Drosophila melanogaster: one gene and its partner. The protein of the gene in region 1 interacts with the protein of each later gene in a pairwise test. Each region holds a gene or a part of one and is shown on either strand. Other genes may lie near its edges.

What was found. Proteins that work in one complex are often made in the same cells at the same time.
Region 2: the proteins of corto (region 1) and esc interact in binary tests that used the Drosophila melanogaster proteins (3 or more experiments, as listed by UniProt).

The regions. Positions count from the first base shown.
Region 1 is NT_033777.3:5,081,514-5,093,014, forward strand, and holds the start of corto (corto), read right to left. Parts: upstream 5,560-11,501; 5' UTR 4,513-5,559; coding exon 2,860-4,512; 3' UTR 1-2,859. UniProt on the Drosophila melanogaster protein: Essential protein required for proper condensation of mitotic chromosomes and progression through mitosis. Binds to specific polytene chromosome sites, many of which are shared with the posterior sex combs (Psc) protein.
Region 2 is NT_033779.5:11,827,609-11,831,208, forward strand, and holds the start of esc (extra sexcombs), read right to left. Parts: upstream 1,798-3,600; 5' UTR 1,628-1,797; coding exon 1,568-1,627; intron 1,496-1,567; coding exon 1,362-1,495; intron 1,300-1,361; coding exon 1,128-1,299; intron 764-1,127; coding exon 1-763. Other genes in the region: Pde1c (phosphodiesterase 1c), read right to left, coding at 2,669-3,223. UniProt on the Drosophila melanogaster protein: Polycomb group (PcG) protein.

The DNA of each region.
Region 1 (11,501 bases):
GCGGGTACCACAATCCCTGCAGTAAGATAATCCACAAAAAAAAAAAAAAAAAAAAAAAACCACAAAACTAACAGCCCTCGAAGTAACCACTTGATCACTGAGCTCATTTTCAGACATGGGGAAATTTGTCGAGTAACGAAAGCACTCTAGTTTGGAACTCGAGGGACTGGCCATTATCTGCGATGCCCACACATGGAACAGTAATCACATCAGATACGAGTGTGAATCCAAAGTGCAGCTTAGTAATCCCAGACGAGACGAGACGATCCGAGCTGAGCGGCACCTGCCTAACGCGGCAACGGGGCGGATGAGTGACGACAATGGCGATGACCTCGCATTCGAATTGGGGCGGTGGGGCGGTGGGTTACAGGGGCCATCACTCACCCAGCCGCATGCAAATGGCCCCAGCAGCTGATAGTTGATTGCTCAAACGAAATGAAAACAAACAACCGACGCTTTCAGCTGGAGCTGGATCCGATCTCCAGTATATTTTAATTACACTTGTGTGAATGCCGCCGGCGGCAATTGAAATATTTTTCCGTCTCTAATCTACGACCAATTTAATATGAATTGAATAAGTGAATAGATGAATCCCGCGGAGAGTGCGGCACCATTCAGGAAGCAGTGGCTTGTTTAGATTGGGCGTGCAAGCGGGACTACTATATATGGAAAGTGCCCAGTGGAGAGTGATTTCTAAGGTTTCTTGCAACAGATGCTGTTGAATGGGCTTCCACGAAGGATGGAGAAATACAAATGTGCTCTAAATCAGATTCATTTATGTGTTAAATGCAATTCACAGCAGATGAATAAAAGTCAAGCTCCCCTAAATAATGTTTTTCCTAATGAAATGACTTGTATGTTGAATAAGTTATGGATTAATATGTGGTCTGGCCATTTCTTCGACTAACCGATGCGTCTAAACTGGTCCCACAAATTCCTGCAATGGTTCCGTCGTTCTGCAATTGGACTAAAGTCTTTTCTTTCTTGAATCTCGAGTGGATTGCGACCGCATGGTCGTGGAGTAGAGTCGGACTTGTTTGGATGTAGGGCAGCCTAAAGCGGACAGATGAGTCAGTGCCGGTCCCCCGGCAGCGGATGTCGTTCATTTCAGTTGAAAACTCTTTTTTGGCTTAATTAATTCGACGATTGGCTTAATGGCGCGCTGAATCCTCAGCGGGTTTTCCTGCCCATGCATAAATTACTCAGCTATTTGCTTTCCGGAACCCAGCAACTCCCATGGAACCGCGCCAATCGCCTCGACATGCAATCAGTAATGAAAGCACACACTTTCCCGAGGGACCTTGGGGGCGAGCAAAAACAATTTCAGCTGATAACATCTCGCGTTTCCTGGCCACTCGAAACCATTAGATTTTGCTGCGTTTTCACCTCGCAACAAAGACCAAAATTAGAGCCGTAAGCACTGAAGGCAAAGGCAGTTCGGTTATATCACTGTAACGAATGAACTTCGAGAATGCTGGTCTTTGAAAGGTAAGTACAGTGAGGCCGCTGGTGGCGTGAACAAGAACGTATTTAAACTTCTAATCGAAAACAAAGGCGTAAAAGCGAAATAACCGACGTCGTGGAACACATATATGTACATAGAGTGGAAATCAACATCTCTCGATATCGTAGTGTGTTGCCAGATTTAGTCCTTCAACAGCTGGCTCAAATACATTAAATAGTATATAAGTATCTAAGTATAAGATATTAATAGTGAAATTTCAAGAGACGTCCTCATGTCTAGCCATAAATCGGAGCCCTGTAAGTTTTCGAAATTCGTCTCAGCTCAACGGTTTGCCATTAGCGAGGGACCCCTGTGCTGTGCGCCGAGGTCACCCCAACCCGCTGCCCGGTCCTCCATCAATGACAATAATCAATCACGGCTCACCGCAGAGGAGGAGGCCATGAGGCGGAGCAGAATGAGGAAACAAAGGGAGCGAAGATGAAAATCGAATCAAGGCGAACAGAAAGAGGAGTTAGTCGGTCGGTGGTGGTGGGAAGTGTGAAAAGTTGGCCACAAAAGCCGACGGCAAGGGGAGTTTTCCTTGCCGCGGCCAAATCACTTGAACTATGCTTTTCTTGCTCGCTACGTTAATTGAAAACACAATTTACTTAATTTTTGCATATCTCGCTTCAAATTACGTTGCATAATTTTGAATAATTTTTATTCGTATTTTTTGTGTTGCTTTTTTCTGCTTTACTCTTCTCTCTCCATCGTTTGGTAATAATTTTCCTTTCATATTTTCGTATTCTTTCGGTAAATGGTTGTTGTAACATTTTGCTGATTTGTAATTAAATATGCGTATGTGTAACTTTTAGCAATTGTTTTGTTTAATGTTGCTGCCGTTGTTGTTGTTGTTGCAGTTCTTGTTTTTGCCGTTGTTGCAGTTGTTATTGTTTATGTGGTTGGCTTACACAGAGCGGTTGCTGTTGTTTCTTGTTGGTTGTTTAATTTAAATTAAATTAATTACTAAAATTATTTTATAACAAATATCACTACAATAGTTTGCATTTTTTTTTTTTGTTGTTGTTTGTTTTTGTATCGTTTATCAATTACTACCATTACTAAAAGAAAAAAAGATCGCTCATTTCCTCTTTTCTCACCGTCGGACAACAATTTCTCATAGCAGCTAGACAGAATTTTGTTTCATCTCTTAATATTTTTAGAGTTAATTACTTTTGATTCTAAAAGCTTTGATGGGTGTGTATATATAGTACTGTTTTAGGGGAGGATCTATTAATTATTCCTTGAGGCGGCTATTTCATCGACGCGTACTTGGTAGGCGCCTGTCTCATGTGTTGCAAGTTGCTGTTGCTGCTGCTGATGTTGCCGTTGTCCTGGTTGCTGCTGGTGCTGCATCACACGTTGTAGCAGGAGATCTGCGGCAGGTGCTGGAATGTGGGCGTGGCCGCCACCGCCGTGGCCGCCGAACTGAACGGCACAAACGAGGTCTGGCCGGCGGCAGCGGCGGCGGCTGCCAAGTTGAGCGAGGCGGCCGCCGCGTACGGGTGCATCCGCTGGGACCGCAAGTACTGGCGGTACTTTCCGCTCAACTTGTCGGTGGCCGTGTTCACTGCTCCCGTCGCCCCCGCACCACTCACCGCCCCGCCTCCGCCCACCGACGCCGACCCGCCCGAGGCCGCTCCGGCGGTGGGCGTGGCCGAGTAGAGGCGCATGGGATTGGTGTCAGGGCCGGCCTGATAATTGCTAGGAACTGTGGCCATCGGCGAGCGGTCCATCAGCATGGACGTCGCGTCCCACGGCGGCGGAGGCAGGCAGTGTTGCTGTTGCTGCTGTGGCTGCTGCTGCTGCACCTGCGACTGTTGCAGCTTCCCCGAGGCGACCGCCGTCTGTCCGTAGCTGCCGGAGATCATGGCGTCCCGCTTCCCGCCCCCTGCTCCGCCGCCACTACCCTTGGCCGCGTAGTGGCTGTGGGGATGCAGCATGTGGTGCGGCGTGAGGGCGGTGCGGGCGGCCAGCGCAGCCAGTTGATCCCACTGGCCGGCGGCTGCGGCGGCTATCGAGGCCTGGGCCGCAGCTGCCGCCGCTGAGTTGGCTGCATGGCTCTGGCTCTGGCTCTGACTTTGGCTTTGGCGTTGGCTTTGGTTGCTGCTGGCACGTTGCTGCTGCTGCTGCTGCTGTTGCTGCTGCTGGTGCTGGCGGACCAGACTAGACTGTTGCTGGGGATAGTGGGCCTGCTGCGACATCTGCGACATCTGCTGGTGCTGTTGCCGCAGTTGCTGCTGTTGCTGTTGGTAGCGTTGCTGCTGTTGTTGCTGCTGCTGGGCGCTCGTAGCCGCCCGGGCTCCACGCCGCGCGGCACTACTGCTGGGCGCCGTGGCCACCGCCGCACCGCTTCCGCCTCCGCCCAGGGCCGCTCCGCTGCTCAGCGAGCTGCTGCTCACCGCCCGCGCGGTCGCATGCATGTTGTTCACGAACGGGCTGCGCCGCTGCGACTCCATCTTGCGGAAGTAGCACGGGTGGATCATCAGCAGGGGCTCCACTCTCTGGCCCGCCGGCGGCTTGGGCTGGTTGGGCAGCTCGTACTCCACGCTGCAGTCCACGTGCAGCGGGATGCTGTAGTCCTTCTGCGGCGATGGAGCGGGGGCTGCGTTGCTGTTGCTGCTGGCAGTCTGCTGCTGCTGCTGCTGCTGTTGCTGCTGTTGTTGCTGTTGTTGTTGTTGTCTGCTGTTGGCAACCGCGGCGGCGACCTGCGTTTGGGTCGCCGCCGCATGGCTGTGGCGCGAGTTGCTGCTGCTGCTGGTGTTGGCGGGCTGGTGGTGATGGCGGTGGTGTTGCTGCTGCTGCTGCTGTTGCAGCAACTGCTGCTGGTGGGCAGCCACGGCGGCGTGGTACATGTGTTGCTGCTGCTGCTGGTGATGATGCTGCTGCTGCGTCTGGCTGTGCTGCTGCTGTTGCTGCTGCTGTTGCTGCTGCAGGGCGGACAGGGCCGACATGCCGTGCGACAGGGACGACATGTCGTAGTTGGCATAACAGGCGGCCATCGTCATTGCTGTATTCAGGGGATCTTTTAGCTTTTGCTCTCGTTTCGGTAACACAGAATTCGCTTTTGGTTTGCTTATTTACTTAGATTTAGATTTTTATCATTTTGCGGATGTTTTTCGCTTTCTTCACTTTCGAAAAAATTCACTTTTGTGGTTTTATTGGCACTGGTAATCCAAAAAGAGCGGCTAACGGTAAATTTGCCGCTGCAGGTAATCCGTGAGTTGGTTGTTGCTTTTGTTTTTGTGTTTTGAGATAGGAGGAACCTTAATCCATATGTGTGTTTGCTTTGCTTTGGAATTCGCTTTAACCCGTATAATATTAGCTGCTGTTCGCGTGTTTAACTTTGTTTCGTTACGTTTATTGTATATTTATTAGCGTTTTAGTCAGTCTTTGTTTGGTTTTACATAAATGCAGCGAACAGTTGGAGCTGCTGGGTGAGTGTGAGTGCGAGTGGGTGCGCGTGTCGGGGTGAGTGAACAATCCACGTGTGTTTTCAGTCTTTTTGCCCGTTTTTGCTGGCTAACTTAACCGTTGCTTTTTAGCTACTCCTTGTCTTCTTTCCATTCGGTTATGCTCTGTTCTGTTCTTTTCTCGCGGGGGTGAGTTCGCGGAGTAGGTAACTTGTTAGTTCTATGCGCAATAGAACTGCCGAACGAACGTCTCATCCACTCCGAAGAAAAACGCGATCTGAATTGTAGTTTCTGCTTTGTAGTTTTGCTGCCGCCGCTTGCTTCTCTGCCGCGGTCTCTGCCGACGTTTGTAAGCGCAGCGAGTATGCTGAATACGGAGCGCGCACGAAAAACAGCTGTTGGCTAGACGCCTACGCCTGTGTGTAGGCTTTGCTTTTATTGTTTTTGTTGATTGTCTGCCGATTTACTTATTTTTCGTATCACAATTGGCTGCGTTGCGTTTGTTTTTGGGTTTTAACTGCGTGTTCACCTTCGACGCGACGTTGAATCTTCTTAACTCTCTTCTTCGTTAATTACGTGCCACAGACCACGCTTTATCTCCTCCTATGTCCGCACGAATCGAGCTCTTTGAAGCGACTGACTCGAAACGTCGTCTTCGCTCCATTCTGCCGACGCCTACCTGCTGTTCGGCACAGCTGATGTTCCGTGACGTATTCAGCACACACACAGTCGCAGGAGACGAGCGCAGAGTTATTGTTATTGTTGCTTTCCTATATAAATTGCATTCAATGGCCGCTCTCTCTCCCTCTCTGTGACCGCTCTCTCTGTGCCTGCGTGTGTGTGTGTGGTATACATTCAGCCATGTTACTACACGGCGGCCATCTTTACAACTGCTTTGGTCGAGACAGAGAGAGACAAAGAGGCGAGAAAAGAGCGAGAGAGCGCACATTATTTTGTAATACGATGTCTTTAACCGTTTTAGTGCTTTAATTTTTTACGGCAAACGCATTTTTGGGAGCAGCTTTATGGGGTCGTAAAAGCAGATGGGTTCTAAAGGGGTTAACGGCGAGTTGAGAGCTAATTGAGCCGCACTAAAAACGGGGAGTTGAATGAATCTATCAGCATCACCTGGTTAAAATGGGAATGGGTTATTTTTACTTATGTATTTCTGAGCACTTTGGTACACCCCTAAAACTTAAAACCCATATAATATCAACATAAGCAGTGTGATCTCCACACAACTGCCTAAAAATCCTCTGCGACGCAACTTCGAACACACCTACGTAGTTCCTTAATATAAGAATACAACAAATACCCCAAGAACCTCTCCGGTTTTGGAATACGAAAGCTAAACTGCGCACTGAGAGACTTTCTGCAGACCAAAAAAGGAAAACAAATTGCAAAAACTCAAACAGACAGCGATATTAAACATTTCTGTACTAAAAAATGGGCAATTTAAGTCAGGAAAGGGCACTGTCTCGCTCGCACACACACAGCGAGAGAGCGAGAGAGAGTGAGAAAACGGCTGGGAATTACACACATTGTAATAAATAAGGAAGGTCGTTGCCATAGCAGCCGCCGTTGGCGTCGTTTTTTTCCCCCCATTTTGTTGTTGCTGCAAGAGAGTGGCTCGCTCTGTGGGGCTCATTCAGCAACTGCTGATAACAAATCAGCTGTTTTGTTATTTGGGGAGGTGTGTCCGCGTGCGAGTGTGTTGGTGAGTCTGGCTGTCTCTCTTGGTACATATTTGTTTTTTTTTTTCTCAAAGCATATGTTTGTTGGAATCGCTGTTGCAGCTGTTGTTGTTGTGGGGCTGAAAGTTGTTGCTGTCAAGTTGCCATTGCATTTCAGTGTTGTTGCTATTCGATGTGCAAGTAAAATGAAAACCTATGTGGCGGATTTGCATTGAAGCATGTCTTTTAATCCAAAAAGTAAAACTAATGCTTCTTATTGTCTACTAAAAACTAATAATTCGTATTATGTGCTAATTATTCTAAGACTCTTAAGAAAGAACATGATTGGTGCATGTATACAAGTTAATGGATACTATTGTTTGATAGCCTTAATGATTTCCTGCTTTTCTACTGTTGTTGCCATGGTTTTGTTAATGAATTGTCTTCATTGCATCTGGGATTGTGGATGGTTTTTGGAGTCTGGTTTGGGTTAATATCGACACTATAGTGTTGTAGCTTTATGCCGACTTTTATGGTGCTGTCGCTGCTGCTTTTAAGCCTTTTCTTTATTGGTGCTTCCGCCGTATTATTTGTATGGGTTTTGGATCTGATGTAGCTGCCAGCTTTGCACTCGTGCGTCCCTTTGTGTGCTTATTTCTGCTCTGCTGTGCTGTTTTTTTGCAGCTTTTTTCTGCCTTTGGTTGCTTTCTGGATTGATGTTGCTGCCGTGATGTTGCTGCTTGCGTGCTTAATGACGAGTCGGCCGCATTACAGTTTGATTACGGGCCGCCAATTTGGAAATTACCGAACTGCTTGAATTAGCGGGCCAGTCGCTCTGCTGGAGAGCCTATGGCTCAACCCCAACCCAAGCGAACGGCCAGAACGAACAAAAACGGGCAGCAGGAAATTGGTCAAGAGGGGCAACAGACAAAACGACAACTGCCAAGACGACGACAATGCCTGAAGTGGTATAGAAAACTTCGAAATTAGAAATTCCAGACAGATAATGGTTTACTCATGTGGGGTTGGCTGAATGCAATAAAATGCGCCCTTTGTGTTTTCATAACTGGTCAAAATACTATTTATTTCCGCTGTATTGCACTGAACGTGCATCTTGCAGGTATAAGTTCAAGTAAGTTGCAAGTAGATTCTACTTGATAGGATCAGGTTATAGTTATCATAGTTTTCGCAGTCTCTTACTGCAAGCCATGGACAAAATGAGTTTCTTTGTATCGGGGCTACGATCGACTATCGAACTCGGAAGCAGTGAAATGTATAATTTGTATTATTTTAGGGCAGCTCTATGATAACATTCAGCATTCTTGTTTGTCCCCAGGACATTTTTTTGACCGTCTGTTTTGGGATCTGGCATTCACTCATTAAATCGGTCCAACCCACATTTCCTGTTTCTCTAATCTCTGTCATCGTCTCCTTTTATATTTGCCTGCTGCATCGCCCTGCTGCCCGGATTGCCTCCTTTTCTTCCCTTGTGGCATATCGAATCCATAACTCAACTGCCTTTCTCCTGCAGAAGTCCAAGTCACGGTCCTCCCGATCCGTTCTCCCCGGCCCAGTCGGCCTGTACGGTGAAACCTGTTTGCATTATTAAGTAACCGCTAGGCCGGCAACTGATCCCGACTGCGACCGGTTGCGCTGCATGGCTTCTTCCCAAGAAGACTGTGTTCTGTGTTTCGTCGCTTCTATTCCCCGACGTCTGCACGAAACTTTCGTTTTTTATACCCGCTACTCGCTGGGGGTTAGGGGTATACGCCACTCTACAAATTACACTTTGCCGAACAGTTCTTCGGTTTGGTTTTCAACCGGACCTAAATAAATCATAAATATATATGAATATCTCATTGAAATCCTAGTTTAGGTGCACTTACAGGCCAAATCTATGCTGTTTATATATATATATGTCACTATGATGCAAACGTTAAAAAAAACAAATGCTGTACATCGACAGAAACGCGCATGGAAATTGAAATATTTATAACGTGCTATTAGGTATTTGACAAAATCCTTTCTAAGACCCATGGATGAACCTTTTTGAGGCATCTGTGTGTAGGGTATCTCTTGATCGAGCGGAGCGATTAGGCAGCCCATTTCAGTGTGTCCCTCTTGCTCCTTCCGCTGCAGTTGGCTGTCTGTTTGTCTGGTCCGCTTGTTAATTCGAAATAAAAACAGGAAAATTTACTTTACAATCTGTGCTAAAATCGTAAATTTTTAGCCGGCTCAGGGGAGCGGCAGTTGCTGTTCCACGTCCAGTTTCGCAGGTAAGACGACGCTGCCGACGAGGCAGGCCAGGAGGCACGGCGCAGCCCGGCGAGGTAGGCTAATCCGCTTGGGCATGACAACGATGACTATTTGTTCTGGGCCCGGATCTCATGCCTCCCGCCCTCCCCTCCTCCTACGACCATCCTGTTCTGTTCTTTTCTGTTTGTGGTTCCACGTACTCTCGTACTCTCGAATTCTCGGGCCGTGCCTAGTTGTTATCTCTTCTTATTTAATTTTGGCTGCCATTGCCGAAGTTGCTGTGCTGTCGCCGTCTAATCTCCACGGCAATATCATCACGAACGCTGGATACCCGGCTCACCAGCTTACCAGTTCACCAGCTCCTCGGTGCAAGAGCCTGTCCGTTGATTGATGCGTTTCCCATTCGGAATTTATGCCATGGACCATTTTGGGCAAGCGCTAAGCAATTCATTTTTTTTTCAGCCAGCGGTCCTTGTATCCCCCTTTGAAGCATGCACCTCAGTCCGTTCAGCGTTGCCCGCTCGACCGCTTTACCGCTAAACAAGCGGGATTTTAGACTGCACTTCAAACTGTTGCAAACTTTTGTCTACTGGATTAATGTGGTCAAGTTATAAGATTTCCAAAACTTCGAAAAACTGTTCAAATCAAACTTTTTGAATAATACATAATTTAATCGAAGGCTTACTGCATGTGATTTGATGGCTGTGTATCGCAAGCTATTCTGCTGGTAGTTAACGTTAAAACTTTTTTAAAAATTCGCTCCCATATGCATTTCTTAAATATATCTTCTTTTAGAAAGTAACTTATTGCCTGGTTACCAAGTATCTTCTTCAAATTCTATGCAGCCGCAACTCCACTTCGCTTCATGACTCACAGCGTTATTAATAGATCTCAGTGGGCATCACTGATCGGATCCCCTCCAGCTGCAATCAGCCTGATCGGGCTAGCGATACTCTGCCAGGAACAGCAGCAACATCAACCGCAGCAACAGGCACATCAGCAACATCCACGGCGCAACAGCAGGAGCACCATTAGGATCGTCCTCAGACATGTTTTTCGGATGGCAATGGCGATGGAGATGAGGATGGCAATGGGGACGGCACGTCGAGTGAATCTAAATTGCTAAATACCTTTTTATGGTTGCTGGCAGTCTCACTGCGGAGCTTCGGTTTAAGATTTTAAAATGTACGAGTATCTTGGTATCGCCGGCTTTCGCAGAAGCGATCCATAGTTGCTTTATAATGTATTGTGTGCATTTTGATTTTCCCTGAAAGCGAACGGCCTGCTCATTCCTGTGATTCATCATGGCATCATGGGGCTGTTGCCGCTTTTGGAAGTTGCTCCTTCGGCATGTTTTTAATAGCCCTTCGGGAATTATTCATTTCCATTGTCTCGCTGCCGTCCAATTTCGATTGCCATCGAGTTATAAACAATTTCAATTATTTTTCCCGTCTCCTTTTCCGTCGTTCGAAATTATGCAACTAATTGCCGGGAATGCGGAGCATTTGACTCCCGAAAGGATGCATTCCCTTTCTCGTCTCCAGTTGGCAGTCAGCTGGCAAATTCATAATTAACCTGACCTTTGATCGCCGGAAGGGATGGCCAAAAGAAGGGAACTCAAAGGGGGTTGGCCCAGGGGTCGATTATATACGATTATACGATTTGGAATTTTATTATAGTTCTCTTGTTTCTGGGAGGATGGATTCCTCCACTTTCTCGTTTCTACCGTTTATTTCTCGCATCATGTTTTTTTTTATTGGAAATGCTATTAAACGGATTCCGCTGAAATACTTTTGATGAACCGGACCCCGGAATGTCGTTCAAGTTGGGGTTCTCAAAAGCAAAGCAACATACTGCGAGGCAAAAACCTAAAGCGACCACTTTGTCAAGCAATTATAGTTATGTCTCTGGGCATTTCAAGAATTCCACGTATAAATACCATATATTCAATCCAGTTGATTTTGAGCCAGCCAAAAATGATCTTAAAATTTGTCGGCGGTCCAATTTGCAGCTCGCAGTCACAAGCCCAGGGAAGAAGACTTCGTCATAACGGTTTCGATAATGGGTTTCACGCTGATGAACGCTTTTTTTTTGGTATCTTACAAAGTGGTTAGTTTTTATTTACTGTTCATTATTATATAGATGAATTCGGACTGAGATGGTTTCAGGTTATTATAACGAAAGTATTTATAATTGCGAAGAGAATATGTCCTTTATGTCTTACCAAGAAGTCTAGAATCTAAATTAGGGCCCCTTTGTGGTAAAAACAACTAAGCGGGTTTCCATGTTTAACTCTTCCCTTTCCAGAAATCTGAATGGCCCTTTGATGTCTGCCCCAAATAAATTCGCGTTGCCAATGGTTTATGCCAGTCGTGATAAGACTACAAAGCCCCATTATCCTAGCCACTCCCCAAATAAATAAAGTGCAAACCAAAAGGCACGCGATTTAGGAGCCCGAAGAGCCGTTCTGAATTAGAGCCACTTCAGAGCATATATTTAAAATAATTCCAAAATAATAACAGATTTACTTGAACACTACAAGACTCCCCAGTCCGTTTGCAGTACTCGCATAATATATCTAGCCTTTTACAACAACTACGATATTCTTACGAAAAGATGGATAAACCGTTTTTAAAAAAGAAAAATAATAAAACG
Region 2 (3,600 bases), on another chromosome or scaffold:
CGGGATCGCTGGGATCCAGCTCCCACACATACACCTTGCCCTGCTGATTGCCCAGGGCAATCACCTTCTGCCACGGATTGAAGCCGAATCTCACGAACCAGATCTCGCACTCGTCGTACTCGAATTCCGCAATTATCGTGCAGGAGGAGTCGCTCGGCTTCACCTGCTCGAAGCTCTGATGTAGTTGTCCCGGTTTCCAGCAGACAATGGCATTTTCGCAGGACTTGGAGAGCACAAAGTTGCCGAACCACTGCACACAGTCCACATAGTTCCTGTGTATATCCCGCGTTGAAAAATCGGGGAAGTGCTTGGTCACCGTGGGGAAAGGCAGCGTTGACTTCTCCTGGCTGAAAGTGTTCGACAGTTCGATCTTGTGATGGAACTCGGGCGTATTCAGACACCACAGCTTCAGCGAGTGATCCATGCCGCTCGACACAATGCGATCTCCACGCATATTAAAGTCGATGGACAGCACCTCATCGCGATGTCCCTCCACTCCGCCCAGGATGGCAATGCACACATGGCTCTGGATGTTCCACAATCTTATCGCGTGATCCTTGCTGCCCGAAAGCAAAAGCTGTAGCTTGTGCGGATGGAACTTCAGCTCGTTAATGGCCTGTCCATGGCCAATGTAGTTGCCCACCGCCTCATTCTGCTCGACATCAATAACCCGGATGACTCCGCGGTATCCAGCAGCGGCCAGGAGAGGTGAAGAGGTCTTAAGGTCGTACGACCAGGCGCAGGTGTAAAATACTTCATCGGGCTGGGAAGGGAATTCAAGATTTGTTGATGTATTTCGAGTTTGTACAATTACATTTGCGACCATATTCTCAGTTACTCTCGGCTAAATTAACAATATAAGCTTTAATTTGAAAACTTGACTGTTATGAAAAACCAAACTTAATACAAGAAATGATAAATGTTTGGATATTGTGAAACCATGCTGAAAGCCTGTAACGATTGTTCTTACTTTAAAACAATTAACAAAAGCAATGATTTAATAGAAACTTTGACTGGATCCCACTTTTTCTACAGCTTTGAATGCGATGTCTAATGTATGAAGCCCCTAACTTTAGCCAACTGATCAATAGGGTCTTGAAAGTGTATTCTGTATCCTGGCGACTCACATCCGGATCTGCATAGCAGTGGAGCAGCTGCATCCCGCCCTGTCGAGGGCACTCGTAGACGGTCACCCGGTTGCTGCCCGCCGTAGCGAAGACCTGTGGCTCATCCTTGCCCAGCAGCGTGTTGAAGGCTACGCCGAAGATGTTGGCTCCGTGGTTCTCCTTCACGTGGGTGCTTCATGGTAATCATTTGTAGGTTCAGTATCAGTGGCCAGCTGAGAAAGTGCATATTCTTACTCGTATTTGTAGGCGGCGCGACTTTTTGGCTTCGATTTGGTGCTCCGGCGACCGCGGCGCTTGCTGCGCGTGCTGGATGACGGGGACTTGCTGCGCGAGGTGGTGCTGTTGGTGGTATAGCTGGCCGACTCATCCTGCAGCCGGCACATGGCCCAAAAGATCCATTAATTCTCGGTTCGCACAGCCATTTGTCATTCGCTACTCACGCCGCATGATTCCTCCGACTCCTCGGGCTCGTTGCCGTTTTTCACTTTATCACTGCTCATTTCGAACGCGCGGCACGTTTGTACGGTTAAATGAAACCCAAATTAGGCCGCGACTTCAATGAACTATTCGATAATGCTTTTTTTAAATGTTTAAATAACGAGGCGAATGAAAATGTTTTTTTTTGGCGGCAATGGTGTGACCCCAGTCACGGATCGCGTAAAATACCCAGGCATTGCAGGCAGTACGGTCTTACCATTGCGCAGCGTGGCCACCTGGTCACGATCGGCTGGCCAGTGTTGGTAAACATTAAACGGTATTTAACACACTTAGGCGGGAAAGTTAAAAAAAGTTCAAAAACGACAAAACACATGCGCAAGCTAGTTTTTTAATATAGAAAACAAACAAATGTAGGACAATCAACATGCCATGGATTCATGTGCGGTATTCAAACTTTGTACATGTATTCACAAAATTACACTGGTCGACAAGACTAGGAGAGTTGCTGCTTGCGAGTGGCGTCAAAAGTGGAAGATATAGTTTCTCAGAAATGCAAATGTATCATACAAATACTTTAAGCAGTTTTGAATACATTTAAAGTATATCTTCCAGTTCTCACTCCTTCAAGTGCTTACTACGTATGAATGTAAGTTTGATTTAATAGTTGCACGGAGTATTTAAACGTAGTAAGCAATTTTTTGTCCAAACGCGGCAACGAAACATTTACAATCCCGCTGAGCGCGGCTGGGGAACGAAACAAGTGTCCTTTTTTCTTTTTTTTTTTTTGATTAGTCTAGGATAAAATAGTTATTTACAACAGAAGCGAGCAAAAGATTTGGGGTAGGGGACAGAGGCTAGACAGAAGATTACAGCAGTGGAAATCGCAGACAGAGGTCAGCAGACAGATGGATAGATTGGATAAAGGAGAGATAGAGAGACAGAGTTCATAGAGTTATGTGTGTATATATAGAAAGTAGTTCATTCTGGAGCTGTGTGGTTGTTGGTTGGTTAACGCAAACGTGAAACGATAAAGGCAAATCGAACGAACTGAAGAGGCGTAACGGATAAACGTTAGTCTAGCATAGAAATCAAATTTCAAGTACGTTTTGTTCGTCGACATGGACCTGGCCCAGGTGGGTGTCCTTAGGCGGCGTTGCCGATGCACCGCCGCTGGGTTACTGCAACTGCCACTGCTGCCGGCACTTCCCGCTTGACTCTCGGCCGCCTTGGCACTTGGCTCCGCGGTTGCGCTGGAGGAGGTGGTGGTTTGGGATGTCAATGTGGATGTGCTGGCGGGCGGCGGTGGTCCCTTGTCGCCGGGATCCTTCGAAGGACTTTCTTCCATCACCGATTCCCTTACGGTTTCCAGGGCGGGTTGAAGCTTAGGGGCAGGTTGTGCGATAGTTTCGCTCGAGGTGTTGGATGGTGGACCCGTTGGGCCACTGTGGGTCTGCGGCGCCTGGGAAACGCCCTTGGTGCGACTCTCTATGCTGTCCTGGTTGTCAGCGCCTGGTGTGACACCTGCACCTGCTCCCCCAGGCGACGCCTCCTGCAGGCTGCAACTCCTATTGGAGTTGTTGTTGTCCTGCTGCTGGTCATCGCGTCCGTGGCTATGGCGACTGCAGTTCAGGTTCTTGCAATTCCCATTGCAGCCCTCCCTGCAGAAGTAAATGGCCGGCATACGTTGGGCGCCAGTTTCGAGTGCCAAGGCGGTCAAGTTTTTCGGCGCCCAGCAGTTGGCAGTGAGTAACAGCGAAAATGCAAATGGGCAATTTTTGGGCAACGAGACACCACGTTGATTTGACGTTGCATAGCATTCGGATTGTTTGTGTGTTTTGTGCAAAAGTTTTCATTTAGTTTTCATGTTTTTTTTTTTTTTTGGTTTTAGGTAAATAGTTTTGGCAATAGAAAGAAAGAATATATAAATAGAACATCAGTTGAGAGATTGTGATAAAGCTTTTGGGTTTAGTAGGGGCAGTGGATTGGACTTTTCCCACGAAGATTGCCTTACTCTAAATAAAATATCTGTCAATCA